2 linked regions of the Saccharomyces cerevisiae S288C genome follow. The main gene of each other region encodes a partner of the protein of the gene in region 2 in a complex. Each region holds a gene or a part of one and is shown on either strand. Other genes may lie near its edges. A codon is read from its position in the direction of its gene.

Region 1 (6,003 bases), on a different chromosome or scaffold from region 2:
TGGCTCATTTCAACAGGGAAAATATTCCTCAAAGGAATCCACATGCTCATGGTTCTGGTGCCTTCGGCTATTTTGAAGTAACCGATGACATTACTGATATCTGCGGGTCTGCTATGTTTAGTAAAATTGGGAAAAGAACGAAATGTCTAACAAGATTTTCGACTGTGGGTGGTGATAAAGGTAGTGCCGACACGGTTCGTGATCCAAGGGGGTTTGCCACCAAATTCTACACTGAAGAAGGTAATTTAGATTGGGTCTACAATAATACACCGGTATTCTTTATCAGAGACCCTTCCAAGTTCCCTCACTTTATCCACACACAGAAGAGAAACCCACAAACCAACCTAAGGGATGCTGACATGTTTTGGGATTTCCTCACCACTCCTGAAAATCAGGTGGCCATTCATCAAGTAATGATCCTTTTTTCAGACCGTGGTACCCCTGCCAACTACCGTAGTATGCATGGTTATTCTGGTCATACCTATAAATGGTCCAATAAAAACGGAGATTGGCATTATGTGCAAGTTCATATCAAAACCGATCAAGGAATAAAGAATTTGACCATAGAAGAGGCTACCAAAATTGCGGGATCCAATCCAGATTACTGCCAGCAGGATTTATTTGAGGCTATTCAGAATGGAAACTATCCTTCCTGGACAGTTTATATTCAAACAATGACCGAACGCGATGCCAAAAAATTACCATTTTCAGTCTTTGATTTGACTAAAGTATGGCCTCAGGGGCAATTCCCTTTACGGCGTGTGGGTAAGATTGTTTTGAACGAGAATCCACTGAACTTCTTCGCACAGGTGGAACAAGCTGCCTTCGCCCCCAGTACCACGGTTCCTTACCAAGAAGCAAGCGCTGATCCAGTATTACAGGCCCGTTTGTTTTCATATGCGGATGCTCATAGATACAGGCTAGGTCCTAACTTCCATCAAATACCCGTAAACTGTCCATATGCATCTAAATTTTTCAATCCCGCTATCAGAGATGGACCGATGAATGTTAACGGCAACTTCGGCTCAGAACCTACATATTTGGCCAACGATAAATCGTACACGTATATCCAACAGGACAGACCCATTCAACAACACCAAGAGGTATGGAATGGGCCAGCTATCCCTTATCATTGGGCAACATCCCCAGGTGATGTAGATTTCGTGCAAGCAAGAAATCTCTACCGCGTTTTGGGTAAACAACCTGGACAGCAAAAGAACTTGGCATATAACATCGGCATTCATGTAGAAGGCGCCTGTCCTCAAATACAGCAGCGCGTTTATGATATGTTTGCTCGTGTTGATAAGGGACTATCTGAGGCAATTAAAAAAGTAGCTGAGGCAAAACATGCTTCTGAGCTTTCGAGTAACTCCAAATTTTGAAACGCTCAAGTAACAAATGAGTGGCGTTGTTTCCACGACAATTATTTATGATAGTGTGTATTTTTAACACATTTTATTTATTACAATTTATGTATTTTGTTATGAATTATTTATTTATACGACTAATAGGTGATGCTCATATTCTCGTGTTAGAAAGTTAAAAAAATTATCATTTCACACATAGGAAAGCTCGTCGCGCCGGGGAAAAAGCTGAGGAATCTCTATTATTAGGGGTAAAGTTCAACACATTCAGTATGAGATAAGTGTGTCTTCAAGAGAGATGCAGCACTGAGTAGGGAACCAAGAAACGATGTCTGAATTACTAGATAGCTTTGAGACAGAGTTTGCGAAATTTTATACCGACAGCAATCTGGAAGAGACAAACCTTCAAAAATGTCTTGATCATACTCATGAATTCAAGAGTCAATTAAAGAAGTTGAAAGCGCACTTAAACAAGCATATTCAGGAATCAAAACCAGAAGTCTATAATAAGCTGAGTGATAAGGAGAAACAAAAGTTTAAGAGAAAAAGAGAACTAATTATTGAGAAGCTAAGCAAGTCACAGAGGCAATGGGACCATTCAGTAAAGAAACAAATAAAGTACGTTTCTCAGCAGTCGAATCGCTTCAACAAAAGCACGCTGAACAAATTAAAAGAATTTGATATAGATAGCGTATATGTCAATAAATTACCGAAAGAGACAATGGAAAATGTTAATGAAGCCATCGGTTACCATATTTTGAGGTATAGTATAGACAACATGCCATTAGGAAATAAAAATGAGGCTTTCCAGTATCTAAAAGATGTCTACGGAATTACTAATAAAGAATCTACTGAATTTATTGAGATGGGCCAAATCGTACATGATCTTAAAAAGGGTGACACAGAAAGCTGTCTGAAATGGTGCTCCAATGAAATGGAAAGCTTATCATCTAACCATACGGCTTTATCGTCCCTAAAATTTGATTTATACACTTTGTCAGCAATGCAGATAGTGAAGCATGGAAATCCGGTAGAGTTGTACTACCAAATAACACAGAACGCACCCCTGGATTGCTTTAGACATAGGGAGAAGGAATTAATGCAAAACGTCGTACCATTATTAACTAAATCGCTAATAGGTCAACCTATTGAAGATATTGATTCTAAAGTAAATAAGGAATTAAAAGAATGCACGTCGTTATTTATAAAAGAATATTGTGCTGCAAAACATATTTTCTTTGACTCTCCCTTGTTTTTGATAGTATTGAGTGGTTTAATTTCTTTCCAATTTTTCATCAAATACAAAACCATCAGGGAGTTAGCGCACGTTGACTGGACTACGAAAGATGAGTTGCCATTTGATGTCAAGTTACCAGATTTTCTGACTCATTTCCATCCGATCTTCATCTGTCCCGTCTTAAAGGAGGAAACCACTACAGAAAATCCTCCTTATTCACTGGCATGCCATCACATCATTTCTAAAAAGGCGCTAGACAGATTATCGAAGAACGGAACAATTACTTTCAAGTGCCCATACTGCCCCGTAAATACTTCAATGAGCAGTACAAAAAAGGTTCGTTTTGTTATGCTTTGACTGAAATTTTTGCATAGGTTTTTTTTTTTTTTTTTTATTGGAAGCGATAACAGAACACAGTAGTTTTCTACAGTAAACCACCTTTAGCAACCTGCTCTCGCTGAAAATCTCCATTCATTATCGTTCCTGAGAACGATCCATTTTCTCCAGCCAACCACCCAGGAACTTTATCAATATTTATTAAATTTTTATCGCATAGTTCGTGTAATCCCCCAAAAATATCATTACCATTAAATTTCAATTTTATGGTAATTATTCTACTGTTTATTTCGTTTTTTAAAGTGAATCCAACTTTTTCAATAGGAACTAAGGAACTGTATCTAGAAATGTACACTGGCTCACCAGAATCTTCATTTTTCTTTCCATTCCTAATATTGTGGACATGTTCGTTAAATTCTTTCAAATCATTATATTTCTGATCCATTACGCCGTTTGCTGAACCTTTGAATTTGATCATGTTTTTCTCTAACCTTAGTCGTCTAATTTCAGGTTCTTCTTTTCCGTAAAAATTCTCATCGTCATTTAAGAAAGAATCATCAAATTCTCTAACCATTACCTTTTTACCAGTAAGGCCTTGGTGCTTTTTGTAGTCGTGTAGTGGTGACCGTTCAAAGTTAGCACTAGCATAACATTCCCATGGGCCCATAGACTCCGCAAATCTCGAAGGTCCTAATAAAGTCATTATATTATGTATTGATTTCACGGGTATTTTCTGTACCGGTTTGAAGATGATTGTTTCTCTTTCTGATATCGTTCGACTAATGCTCTGCAAAACTAGTCTAGCATAAATATCCTTGTCAACTGAATGGAAAATTATTGGAGAATTTAGCGGGAATGCAACGTAATATGGTCTCCTTGATATTAATGGTTTCCCTTGGAATTTGTCTAACTTGTTGTAAAGAGACTCTTTATTTATACTCCCTATATTAGGCGTACTCAAAAATAAATTATTGCTGTCAAATAGCTGTATTCTGGTAATTAACACTGGCAAAGAGGGATGTTTAAACATGTAAACATGACAATGGTAAATTTTCGCTAGATCTGTTTGTAAATTTTCTATAAATTTGGCAGGTTGGAGCTTTACTACGTAAGGTTTCCCATCTCCCCGTAAAGCTTTTGATGGAAGCCACTTAAATTTCTCTGGTTTACTTATCATTAAATGGCAATCTATTTCTGCTAATTGGAAAACATTCAGGCCATCCGGCCAGTATACGTATAATATCCTATTTACTATAACATTTCGCCTCACGCCTTTCTCAATCAGTAAGTCTAATGTTTCTGTCAATAAATATATGTCACCATCAAATGACCCACCGAATTTTGCGAACCATGATAGCGTAAGATCATATAATACCGTTACCGGCAGCTTCATCAATTGTTTGAAAACTACTAGTGTGTCGGAAGTTGGTACATAGTTATCTTCAAGCCGTAATTCGTTAGACATTAATTGCTACTCAAATATACTAGTCAAAGATAGTATCCACCAAAATCTTTCCCCGCTAAAATAACGCCAGATGCTTTCTATGCTTCTAATCTTTTACCATTTACCTTTGTTTATTTCAATATAAACTTTAATTTACAGTCCCTATCTATTGCCCGACTGGACTAACATGCACGTGACATTTTGTGATGGTTTTTCGTCCCTTACTTAGTACGCTTAGTACGCCACAGTTTATATTTTCTTGACAATAATAAAGAACCTGATTGTGGGTTAGAACTTGCTATACTTTTAGTTTAAAATAAGCAGGAAATAATCTTGAGTTCTGTATCATTATTATAAATAAAACTATATTTGTTCTCTTTGTCGCCCTCGGAACTTTCCTCATTACATTGACGAGGTATATATAGATATAGTAGATATACATATCTATCCATGGTATATATGTATGCATCTGGATAATTGAATAGGGTTTCATGTCATATGCCAAGAATTTGTTAATAATATAGTGGAAAAAAGTCAAGAGGTATTATAAATTTCAAAAAAGTACCAAATGGAGGATCAGGATGCTGCATTTATCAAACAGGCTACAGAAGCAATAGTGGATGTATCATTAAATATAGATAACATAGATCCTATAATAAAAGAGTTATTAGAAAGGGTAAGGAATAGGCAAAACAGGTTACAAAATAAAAAACCAGCACTCATACCGGCAGAAAATGGTGTTGATATAAATAGTCAAGGCGGTAACATAAAGGTTAAAAAGGAAAACGCATTACCAAAACCACCGAAGTCCAGCAAAAGCAAACCCCAAGATCGTAGAAATAGTACTGGTGAAAAAAGATTTAAATGTGCGAAATGTTCGTTGGAATTTTCAAGATCATCAGATTTGAGAAGGCACGAAAAGACACACTTCGCCATATTGCCTAACATTTGTCCTCAATGTGGCAAAGGTTTTGCAAGGAAAGATGCATTGAAAAGACATTATGATACACTGACATGTAGGAGAAACAGGACTAAATTACTAACTGCGGGTGGTGAGGGTATCAATGAATTACTGAAAAAAGTCAAGCAATCCAACATCGTTCATCGTCAAGATAACAACCACAATGGTAGCAGTAATGGCTGAAAGAGTAAATAGCGTGTATCTTCTCAAATAAGAAAATATATATTCATCTGCAACATTAATGTGATAGCATTTCCACTTCGACATTCGCCACTAGCTATAACGTTTACTGGCAATTATTATGAACTATGTCAGCTATTCATCACTTGTTGTTTTGTCTCGCTGCATCTGTCGCCCAGCTGGTCGAGCACCGTCTGTTCATTTTCTAGGTTATGAGCCAAACCTGTCAAATACTCAAGTTCTTGGCTACCTAATTGAGAGGCTACGCTCGGATACAGCCCATTAAGTGTATTCTCTTTCGGTTGGCCATGAATCATTGTGAGATTGCATTGAGGGGCAATCTGTACAACTGCACTGTTAAAATGTAAAACCTTGCCATTCTTTTTGAAAAAATTTGCTTCGGCAACGTTTTCAATGGTCATTGGATGCAGTTTATGAAGTTCAGCTTGTAACTTGGTATTATCCTTGTCATTGTTATTAT
Region 2 (8,353 bases):
TATTGAATGGCAAAAATTGTTGATTTGCATTCGGAGTAGAGTTAGAGTTTGTGTTCGGAGTAGAAGATGAGGAATTTTGACTGATGGATTGAACATTGGTGATAAAATGGGGTGTTATTACATTATCGTTCGCAATTCCGGTGCTATTATTATTATTGTTACCGCCATATAGCTGTTGTTGAGCTTGAAGAGGTAAATTGGAAGAATCAATGATTGAATTCTTGGCTAAAATAGCCTGAGGAGACAGGCTGTTTAAATTTGTGTTGGAATTGTTTGAGTCATATGGAGAATTGAATTGGGGAGACTGGTTCTGAATGAAATTAGCAGCTTTTCCACCGGTAACATTAGCAGGAGCGGCATTATTAACGACTGCTGTTGGAGAAGTAAAGTTCGTGCTGGAGGCTACCGTGTTACTGTTATTGTTATCATTGTTATTACTATTACTGTTGTTATTGTTGGAATCCAAATTCTGGTCAAAAGGTTTTGGGTCGAAAAAATTCTGAAAATCGTCTACACCACTGGCTCCGGTATTCGTATTGTTGTTATTAGTATTGTTATTAGTATTACTACTATGGCCTGTGCTATTGTTGTTATTGGTATTATTAGCAGGATTATTATTATTATTAGTATTATTATTATTAGTATTATTGTTATTGGTAGTAGTAGTAGTAGTAGTAGTATTATTATTATTATTATTATTATTCAAATTAAAGAAATCCATCTTTATTTATTACTATTTTTATTATTACTATTTTTATTATTATTATTATTATTATTATTATAAGACACGAAAAGAAAGAAAATAGAGATAGAAAAAGAAAATTTTAAGAATAATGAGTGTAATAGGAAAATAGCCGCCAGTCAGTGATTATTACCTGGTGAACAATAATCTGCAATCCGTGAGAGGAAACAACGCGAAATGCCAAAGCAGAGATGGTGTAATAAGGATAGAGCCACACAACAATACTTTCTAGAAAAATAAATAATAAAAAAATAAGGTAAACAAAGTGTAATCAGTTGCCTTGCCGTATAGTGTTTTGCGGTATAAATATTGTTATTCAATACGAATGATGAATACCGGAAGGTGGTTATGACTAAAACGCAATGTGAATATGATTACAACTGGCAACAACCACAACAGAAACAACAATAATGCATAGTGGTAATAATACGTAAAGTCAATCAGCGTTCAGTTTTAAAAAAAATCTTTTCTCGGTGCTTTGGGGAAGGAGGGGTGGCGTCGTTTCGTAATCGGAGATACCCAAAGTTCATATCACGATAAACGTCAGTTCCGGGTTAGAATAAATTTATGCGGTAGTTTCTGTGCGAACTTGAGTGCGGTGGCATTTTCCTCCGGCGAGGCCTGGGTGGAACACTCAGGCAGGGGGTACACCCAGACCTGCAGGCATGCATCTGCTGTTTCGGCGGCTATTTAACATGCGCACGATTTTACGAGAGGAGAAGAGAAGTATGATATAATTAACGGTGAGCATTTTTGGTAATGGGAGGTGAAGACGAAATATTAAGCACGATGGAGGATTTTGCGGCAGTTTACGATGTCCTGGTAATTGGTTGCGGGCCTGGTGGCTTTACTGCAGCGATGCAGGCTTCGCAAGCAGGCCTGCTCACAGCATGTGTTGACCAGCGTGCCTCGCTGGGGGGCGCCTACCTTGTAGACGGGGCAGTCCCGTCCAAGACCTTGTTATATGAGTCTTATCTTTATCGGCTGCTACAACAGCAAGAACTTATCGAGCAACGTGGCACGCGGCTGTTTCCTGCAAAATTCGATATGCAGGCGGCCCAGAGTGCACTCAAACATAATATAGAAGAGTTGGGCAATGTGTATAAACGTGAGCTATCTAAAAATAATGTTACTGTGTATAAAGGCACGGCTGCTTTCAAAGATCCTCACCACGTTGAGATTGCGCAGCGCGGCATGAAACCGTTCATCGTAGAGGCGAAATATATTGTTGTGGCGACCGGATCTGCGGTTATTCAGTGTCCTGGTGTTGCAATAGATAATGACAAGATAATTTCATCTGATAAGGCATTGTCACTGGATTATATACCTTCACGTTTTACTATCATGGGAGGAGGTACAATTGGACTAGAAATCGCATGCATATTCAATAATTTGGGCTCTCGGGTTACTATCGTTGAATCTCAAAGCGAGATCTGTCAAAATATGGACAATGAGTTGGCTTCTGCCACGAAGACCCTCTTGCAGTGTCAGGGTATAGCTTTTCTTTTAGACACTAGAGTGCAGCTCGCGGAAGCCGATGCTGCCGGTCAGCTGAACATCACCTTGCTTAACAAGGTGTCAAAGAAAACATATGTACATCATTGCGACGTCTTGATGGTTTCTATTGGTAGACGTCCCCTGCTAAAAGGTTTAGATATTTCCAGCATTGGTCTAGACGAACGGGATTTTGTAGAAAATGTTGACGTACAAACCCAAAGTCTGCTAAAGTACCCTCATATTAAACCCATAGGAGACGTTACATTGGGCCCCATGCTGGCGCTGAAAGCGGAAGAACAAGCTATAAGGGCCATTCAATCAATAGGCTGTACAGGCTCCGACGGAACCTCGAATTGTGGCTTCCCACCAAATGTGCTGTACTGTCAGCCTCAGATTGGCTGGGTCGGATACACTGAGGAGGGGTTGGCAAAGGCTCGCATCCCATATCAAAAAGGCAGGGTTTTGTTCTCACAGAACGTTAGATATAACACGTTATTACCACGGGAAGAGAATACTACAGTTTCTCCTTTCATTAAAGTTCTGATAGATTCTCGTGACATGAAAATACTAGGCGTTCATATGATAAACGACGATGCAAATGAATTGCTGTCGCAAGCATCGATGGCGGTGTCGCTTGGCCTTACCGCCCATGATGTCTGTAAAGTACCGTTCCCTCATCCGAGCTTATCGGAATCGTTTAAGCAAGCCGTCCAGTTGGCAATGGCAAATGGAACATCACCTGGCGTACATGTCCGGGAATAGGCAAACGTTGCAGATCTCCTTTAACCCGGTTTTCACACCATATTCCTTGATAAGTCCGTAGCATATCTCGTCCAAATCTATCTGGTTAAATCTTTCTCCCCCCTTCCATAGCGCTATTGAAATTTTACTCATGGGCAGAAAACAGTTACGAGGTTTGCCTCTCTCACCGGGCATTGTAATGATGAAATTTATCTGCAATTTTATCGTCGTGAGTCTTCCTTCTCTAATAACTCTTTCCACAATTAATGAGTCACTATTATTCATTAGATAACACCTGGTTTTCCTTTTCAATAAATTAATCAAATTTTGGAAAATTCCAGTTTTTTTGGACTTGATCTTATCAAACTCATAAAGGCTTAATAGACACTTCTGGAAGTTACGTGTTGCCAGTAATTGCTTGGCCTTCAGTCTAACGTTTGTGGAAATTCGCAAGATTTCCCACTTCAGCAGTGTGGAATCTTCAAATTTATAGAACATTTTGAACTGAATTTCAAAAGGATTCATCGTGTTTCTGCAGAATTTATAATTGACCACCAAAACTTCAATCCCATCGTTATGTACTCTGTCTCTTGATTGCACAGAAACTTGAAGATGCGGGTATGTGTGGTCTCTCAAATAACTTAGCCGTAGATTCATATTTAACAAAGGTAACGTGTCGTATTTTGTTACTAGTTCCTTCTGCAAGTTAGTTAGCCCATTGATCCTCTCGACCCGCTTGCGGTCACTTATCGCCGAATTAGGATTAGAGGATGAGATCGAGATTAGATTAAGAAAATCCTGTGTGATATCGTTTTGGAGGATATCACCATTTTTAGTCTTACTGTTATTTTCCTTCATCAAGATATTTTGGTACGTCTGGATCTCTTGTAAAAGAGTATTTCTCCTTGTCAACAGCGCATCCTTCTCCTCCTGTAGCTTCAGTGCGCGTACCTGATCATCATCTAATAGCGATAGTTGTTGCTTCTCGTCCCCATCAATGTTTACATCTGCTTCACCAGCATGATGTGTACCCACAGCGTCTTCCAGACTTAAATGCGAATTCGATGTGTCGTGCGAATTCGTCGTATCAGACGTAAAATCCATATTTGCGTTCTTTGCCGACCTAGTATCAACAAGATCACACTAGCTCCAAGGTATATAGCTGTTTATATAAGTCTAAATTACGCGTTTCTGATTTTTCGGCGGACTCCAACTATTAGATAGTCACCATTACCGGTTACATTACCGGCCACATAGTAGAACGCCAGAGTATATATGCCGTGACCTTCACGGTTTGGATGTTAATGAGTAACTTGCACAGCTATTGGTATTTGGACTTCTTGGCACATTTTTCCCTGTACAGCTTTTCTTTTTTTCAATGTGCGAGGGCCCACGTGGCTTAATACAACACAGTGCAGTCGCAAGCACGTGCATGCGATTTTGAAAGCACAAGGCAGAAACGTGGAAACATACACACACGCACACACCCAACTTTCGAGTGGGTTTCATCCAGGAAGAACTTTTAAATAGAGGCCAGAGAGCGGCTTACATCAGACATCTTTTCTCGAACTTACTTCATCTTCTCAATATCGAGAGGGCCCATTGGCGGGTAATAATACGCATAAGAGTGATCTAATCCAAGTAGTACCTCCTTAGCGCTTTTTTTATTATCACTATAGGTCATTTGGCTATTAGAGCGAACAGCAGAATTTGTCCTTGGTTTTCAGAGTTTGAAAATGCTATTTGGTATTAAACTGGCTAACGACGTATATCCTCCCTGGAAGGATTCATATATCGACTATGAAAGGTTGAAGAAATTACTAAAGGAAAGCGTCATACATGATGGCCGTAGTTCCGTGGATAGTTGGTCCGAAAGGAATGAATCTGATTTTGTGGAGGCCTTGGATAAAGAACTAGAAAAGGTTTACACATTTCAAATTTCCAAATATAATGCTGTCTTGCGAAAATTAGATGATTTAGAGGAAAACACTAAATCAGCTGAAAAAATCCAAAAAATAAATTCTGAGCAGTTCAAAAACACCTTAGAAGAATGTCTAGATGAGGCTCAAAGATTGGATAACTTTGACAGGTTAAATTTTACTGGGTTTATCAAGATTGTGAAGAAACACGATAAATTACATCCAAACTATCCTTCTGTAAAGTCTCTTTTACAAGTCAGATTGAAAGAACTTCCTTTCAACAATTCAGAAGAGTATTCTCCCTTGTTGTATAGGATCTCATATCTGTACGAGTTCTTGAGATCAAATTATGATCATCCAAATACGGTGTCTAAATCATTAGCAAGTACTTCTAAATTATCACATTTTTCTAACCTTGAAGACGCAAGTTTTAAAAGCTACAAGTTTTGGGTTCATGATGATAATATAATGGAGGTTAAGGCTAGAATCTTAAGGCATCTACCTGCTTTGGTTTATGCGTCGGTTCCAAATGAAAATGACGATTTCGTCGATAATCTAGAATCAGATGTCCGCGTACAACCTGAAGCGCGCTTGAATATTGGTTCAAAGAGTAACAGCCTTTCTAGTGATGGTAATAGCAACCAAGATGTTGAAATTGGAAAATCAAAGAGCGTTATTTTCCCACAGTCATATGATCCAACAATCACTACATTATATTTCGACAACGATTTTTTTGATTTGTACAATAACAGATTGTTGAAAATCAGCGGTGCACCTACGCTGAGATTAAGATGGATCGGTAAACTGCTAGACAAACCTGACATATTTTTGGAAAAGAGAACTTTTACAGAAAATACCGAAACTGGTAATTCAAGTTTTGAAGAAATCAGATTGCAAATGAAAGCCAAATTCATCAACAATTTTATTTTTAAAAATGATCCCAGTTACAAAAACTATTTAATTAATCAACTAAGAGAAAGGGGTACTCAAAAGGAGGAACTGGAAAAACTTTCTAGAGACTTTGATAACATCCAAAACTTTATTGTTGAGGAGAAGTTGCAGCCAGTTTTGAGAGCTACCTATAATAGAACTGCTTTCCAAATTCCTGGAGATCAAAGTATTAGAGTCACTATCGATTCCAATATCATGTACATTAGAGAGGATTCTTTGGACAAAAATAGGCCCATTAGGAACCCTGAGAATTGGCACCGTGACGATATTGATTCCAATATTCCCAACCCATTGAGGTTTTTAAGAGCAGGAGAATATTCGAAGTTCCCCTATTCTGTAATGGAGATTAAGGTTATAAACCAAGATAATTCTCAAATGCCTAATTATGAGTGGATTAAAGATTTAACTAATTCACATTTAGTTAACGAAGTTCCAAAATTTTCTTTGTACTTGCAAGGTGTGGCTTCACTGTTTGGTGAAGACGATAAATATGTCAACATTTTGCCATTCTGGTTGCCCGATTTAGAAACCGACATCAGAAAGAACCCTCAGGAGGCTTACGAAGAAGAGAAGAAAACTTTACAAAAACAAAAGAGCATTCATGATAAACTTGATAATATGAGAAGGTTATCCAAAATCTCTGTACCAGATGGAAAGACCACTGAAAGACAAGGGCAAAAAGATCAGAATACTCGCCACGTTATTGCAGATTTAGAAGATCACGAATCATCAGATGAAGAAGGTACTGCATTGCCCAAGAAATCTGCAGTCAAAAAAGGGAAGAAATTCAAAACGAATGCAGCTTTCTTGAAAATTCTTGCTGGAAAAAATATTTCAGAAAATGGAAATGATCCATACTCCGACGATACAGACAGTGCCTCTTCTTTCCAATTACCTCCGGGAGTTAAAAAACCAGTTCACCTTTTGAAAAATGCCGGTCCTGTCAAAGTTGAGGCAAAAGTTTGGCTCGCCAATGAACGTACATTCAATAGATGGTTAAGTGTAACCACATTGCTGAGTGTATTGACCTTTTCTATCTATAATTCAGTGCAAAAAGCCGAATTTCCACAACTAGCTGATCTGTTGGCCTATGTATATTTCTTTTTGACTTTGTTTTGCGGAGTATGGGCTTATAGAACCTACTTAAAAAGATTAACTCTTATTAAAGGTAGAAGTGGTAAGCATTTGGATGCACCTGTGGGACCTATTTTGGTTGCAGTTGTATTAATCGTTACCTTGGTTGTTAACTTTAGTGTGGCTTTTAAAGAGGCCGCTAGGAGGGAAAGAGGATTAGTAAACGTTTCCTCCCAGCCTTCGTTACCCCGTACACTAAAACCAATTCAAGATTTTATCTTCAATTTGGTTGGGGAATAAGAACATGTATATTTTTTATATACACATATATTACACAAGTACCAGTTACTATCATAATTAATTAATTGTTCTCTATTTATACATATTTGCTCTTCCGTATTAAATCATATTAAACAGCTTTCAGCAGGTGCCGGCGCCGCCTCTTTTTATTTTCAAAATTCAAAATGCACATAATGAGAAGATGTGTGTGATAGTTAAACCCAGATCAAAAAATAGCTGAAACGTTCGTTTCAGCTCCGCAAATCTATATTGCTAATTAAAATTATTCATCAATATCTACTTCTGTTTCAGTTTTTTTCCTCTTCTTCCTCTGACCTTTGGATATCATAATAATGTCAGTTGAAGTAGATAAGCACCGGAACACACTACAGTATCATAAAAAGAACCCTTACTCCCCTTTATTCTCCCCAATTTCTACATATAGGTGTTATCCTCGGGTATTGAACAATCCCTCCGAGTCTAGAAGATCAGCCAGTTTTAGTGGTATTTATAAAAAAAGAACCAATACGTCAAGATTCAATTATTTAAACGACCGCCGTGTTTTATCAATGGAAGAATCAATGAAAGATGGGTCAGATAGAGCTAGTAAAGCTGGTTTTATAGGAGGCATAAGAGAAACTCTTTGGAACTCAGGTAAGTACTTATGGCACACATTTGTGAAAAACGAACCTCGCAATTTTGATGGTTCTGAAGTAGAAGCAAGTGGTAACAGCGACGTTGAGAGCAGAAGTTCTGGAAGTAGGAGCAGTGACGTACCATATGGTCTACGTGAAAATTATTCCTCGGATACAAGAAAACACAAATTCGATACGTCGACGTGGGCCTTACCAAATAAAAGGAGAAGAATCGAAAGTGAAGGTGTGGGGACACCTTCAACCTCACCAATCAGCTCTTTGGCTTCTCAAAAAAGCAATTGTGATAGTGACAATAGCATAACTTTTTCGAGAGATCCTTTTGGTTGGAATAAGTGGAAAACAAGTGCTATTGGTTCTAACTCAGAAAATAACACTTCTGATCAGAAAAATAGCTACGACAGGCGACAGTATGGGACAGCCTTTATTAGAAAGAAAAAAGTTGCAAAACAGAACATTAACAATACTAAACTGGTGTCGAGAGCACAATCTGAGGA

The links. Proteins that work in one complex are often made in the same cells at the same time.
Region 1: the proteins of CTF19 (region 2) and CHL4 are in contact, whole or in part, in a cryo-EM structure (PDB 6QLE), measured with the Saccharomyces cerevisiae proteins. Residues at the interface, in NP_015307.1 of Saccharomyces cerevisiae: Arg124 (codon at 3,715), Val125 (codon at 3,712), Glu126 (codon at 3,709), Arg127 (codon at 3,706), Ile128 (codon at 3,703), Asn129 (codon at 3,700), Gly130 (codon at 3,697), Leu138 (codon at 3,673), Val139 (codon at 3,670), Thr140 (codon at 3,667), Lys141 (codon at 3,664), Tyr142 (codon at 3,661), Asp143 (codon at 3,658), Thr144 (codon at 3,655), Leu145 (codon at 3,652), Pro146 (codon at 3,649), Leu148 (codon at 3,643), Arg153 (codon at 3,628), Arg172 (codon at 3,571), Arg174 (codon at 3,565), Tyr205 (codon at 3,472), Phe207 (codon at 3,466), Ser210 (codon at 3,457), Thr211 (codon at 3,454), Leu212 (codon at 3,451); in NP_010540.3 of Saccharomyces cerevisiae: Pro269 (codon at 3,598), Trp270 (codon at 3,595), Cys272 (codon at 3,589), Tyr273 (codon at 3,586), Phe278 (codon at 3,571), Glu279 (codon at 3,568), Ser281 (codon at 3,562), Leu283 (codon at 3,556), His284 (codon at 3,553), Asp285 (codon at 3,550), Tyr286 (codon at 3,547), Gln290 (codon at 3,535), Gly291 (codon at 3,532), Leu292 (codon at 3,529), Thr293 (codon at 3,526), Gly294 (codon at 3,523), Lys295 (codon at 3,520), Lys296 (codon at 3,517), Val297 (codon at 3,514), Met298 (codon at 3,511), Val299 (codon at 3,508), Arg300 (codon at 3,505), Phe302 (codon at 3,499), Ile321 (codon at 3,442), Leu324 (codon at 3,433), Lys328 (codon at 3,421), Ile331 (codon at 3,412).

The regions. Positions count from the first base shown.
Region 1 is NC_001136.10:963,512-969,514, reverse strand, and holds CHL4 (Chl4p), read right to left. Parts: upstream 4,403-6,003; coding exon 3,026-4,402; downstream 1-3,025. Other genes in the region: CTA1 (catalase A), read left to right, coding at 1-1,382; ubiquitin-protein ligase RMD5, read left to right, coding at 1,693-2,958; MET32 (Met32p), read left to right, coding at 4,950-5,525; CCR4-NOT core subunit BTT1, read right to left, coding at 5,654-6,003. UniProt on the Saccharomyces cerevisiae protein: Component of the kinetochore, a multiprotein complex that assembles on centromeric DNA and attaches chromosomes to spindle microtubules, mediating chromosome segregation and sister chromatid segregation during meiosis and mitosis.
Region 2 is NC_001148.4:513,382-521,734, reverse strand, and holds CTF19 (Ctf19p), read right to left. Parts: upstream 4,085-8,353; coding exon 2,975-4,084; downstream 1-2,974. Other genes in the region: SWI1 (Swi1p), read right to left, coding at 1-721; IRC15 (Irc15p), read left to right, coding at 1,502-3,001; VTC3 (vacuolar transporter chaperone), read left to right, coding at 4,717-7,224; SUMO protease ULP1, read left to right, coding at 7,557-8,353. UniProt on the Saccharomyces cerevisiae protein: Component of the kinetochore, a multiprotein complex that assembles on centromeric DNA and attaches chromosomes to spindle microtubules, mediating chromosome segregation and sister chromatid segregation during meiosis and mitosis.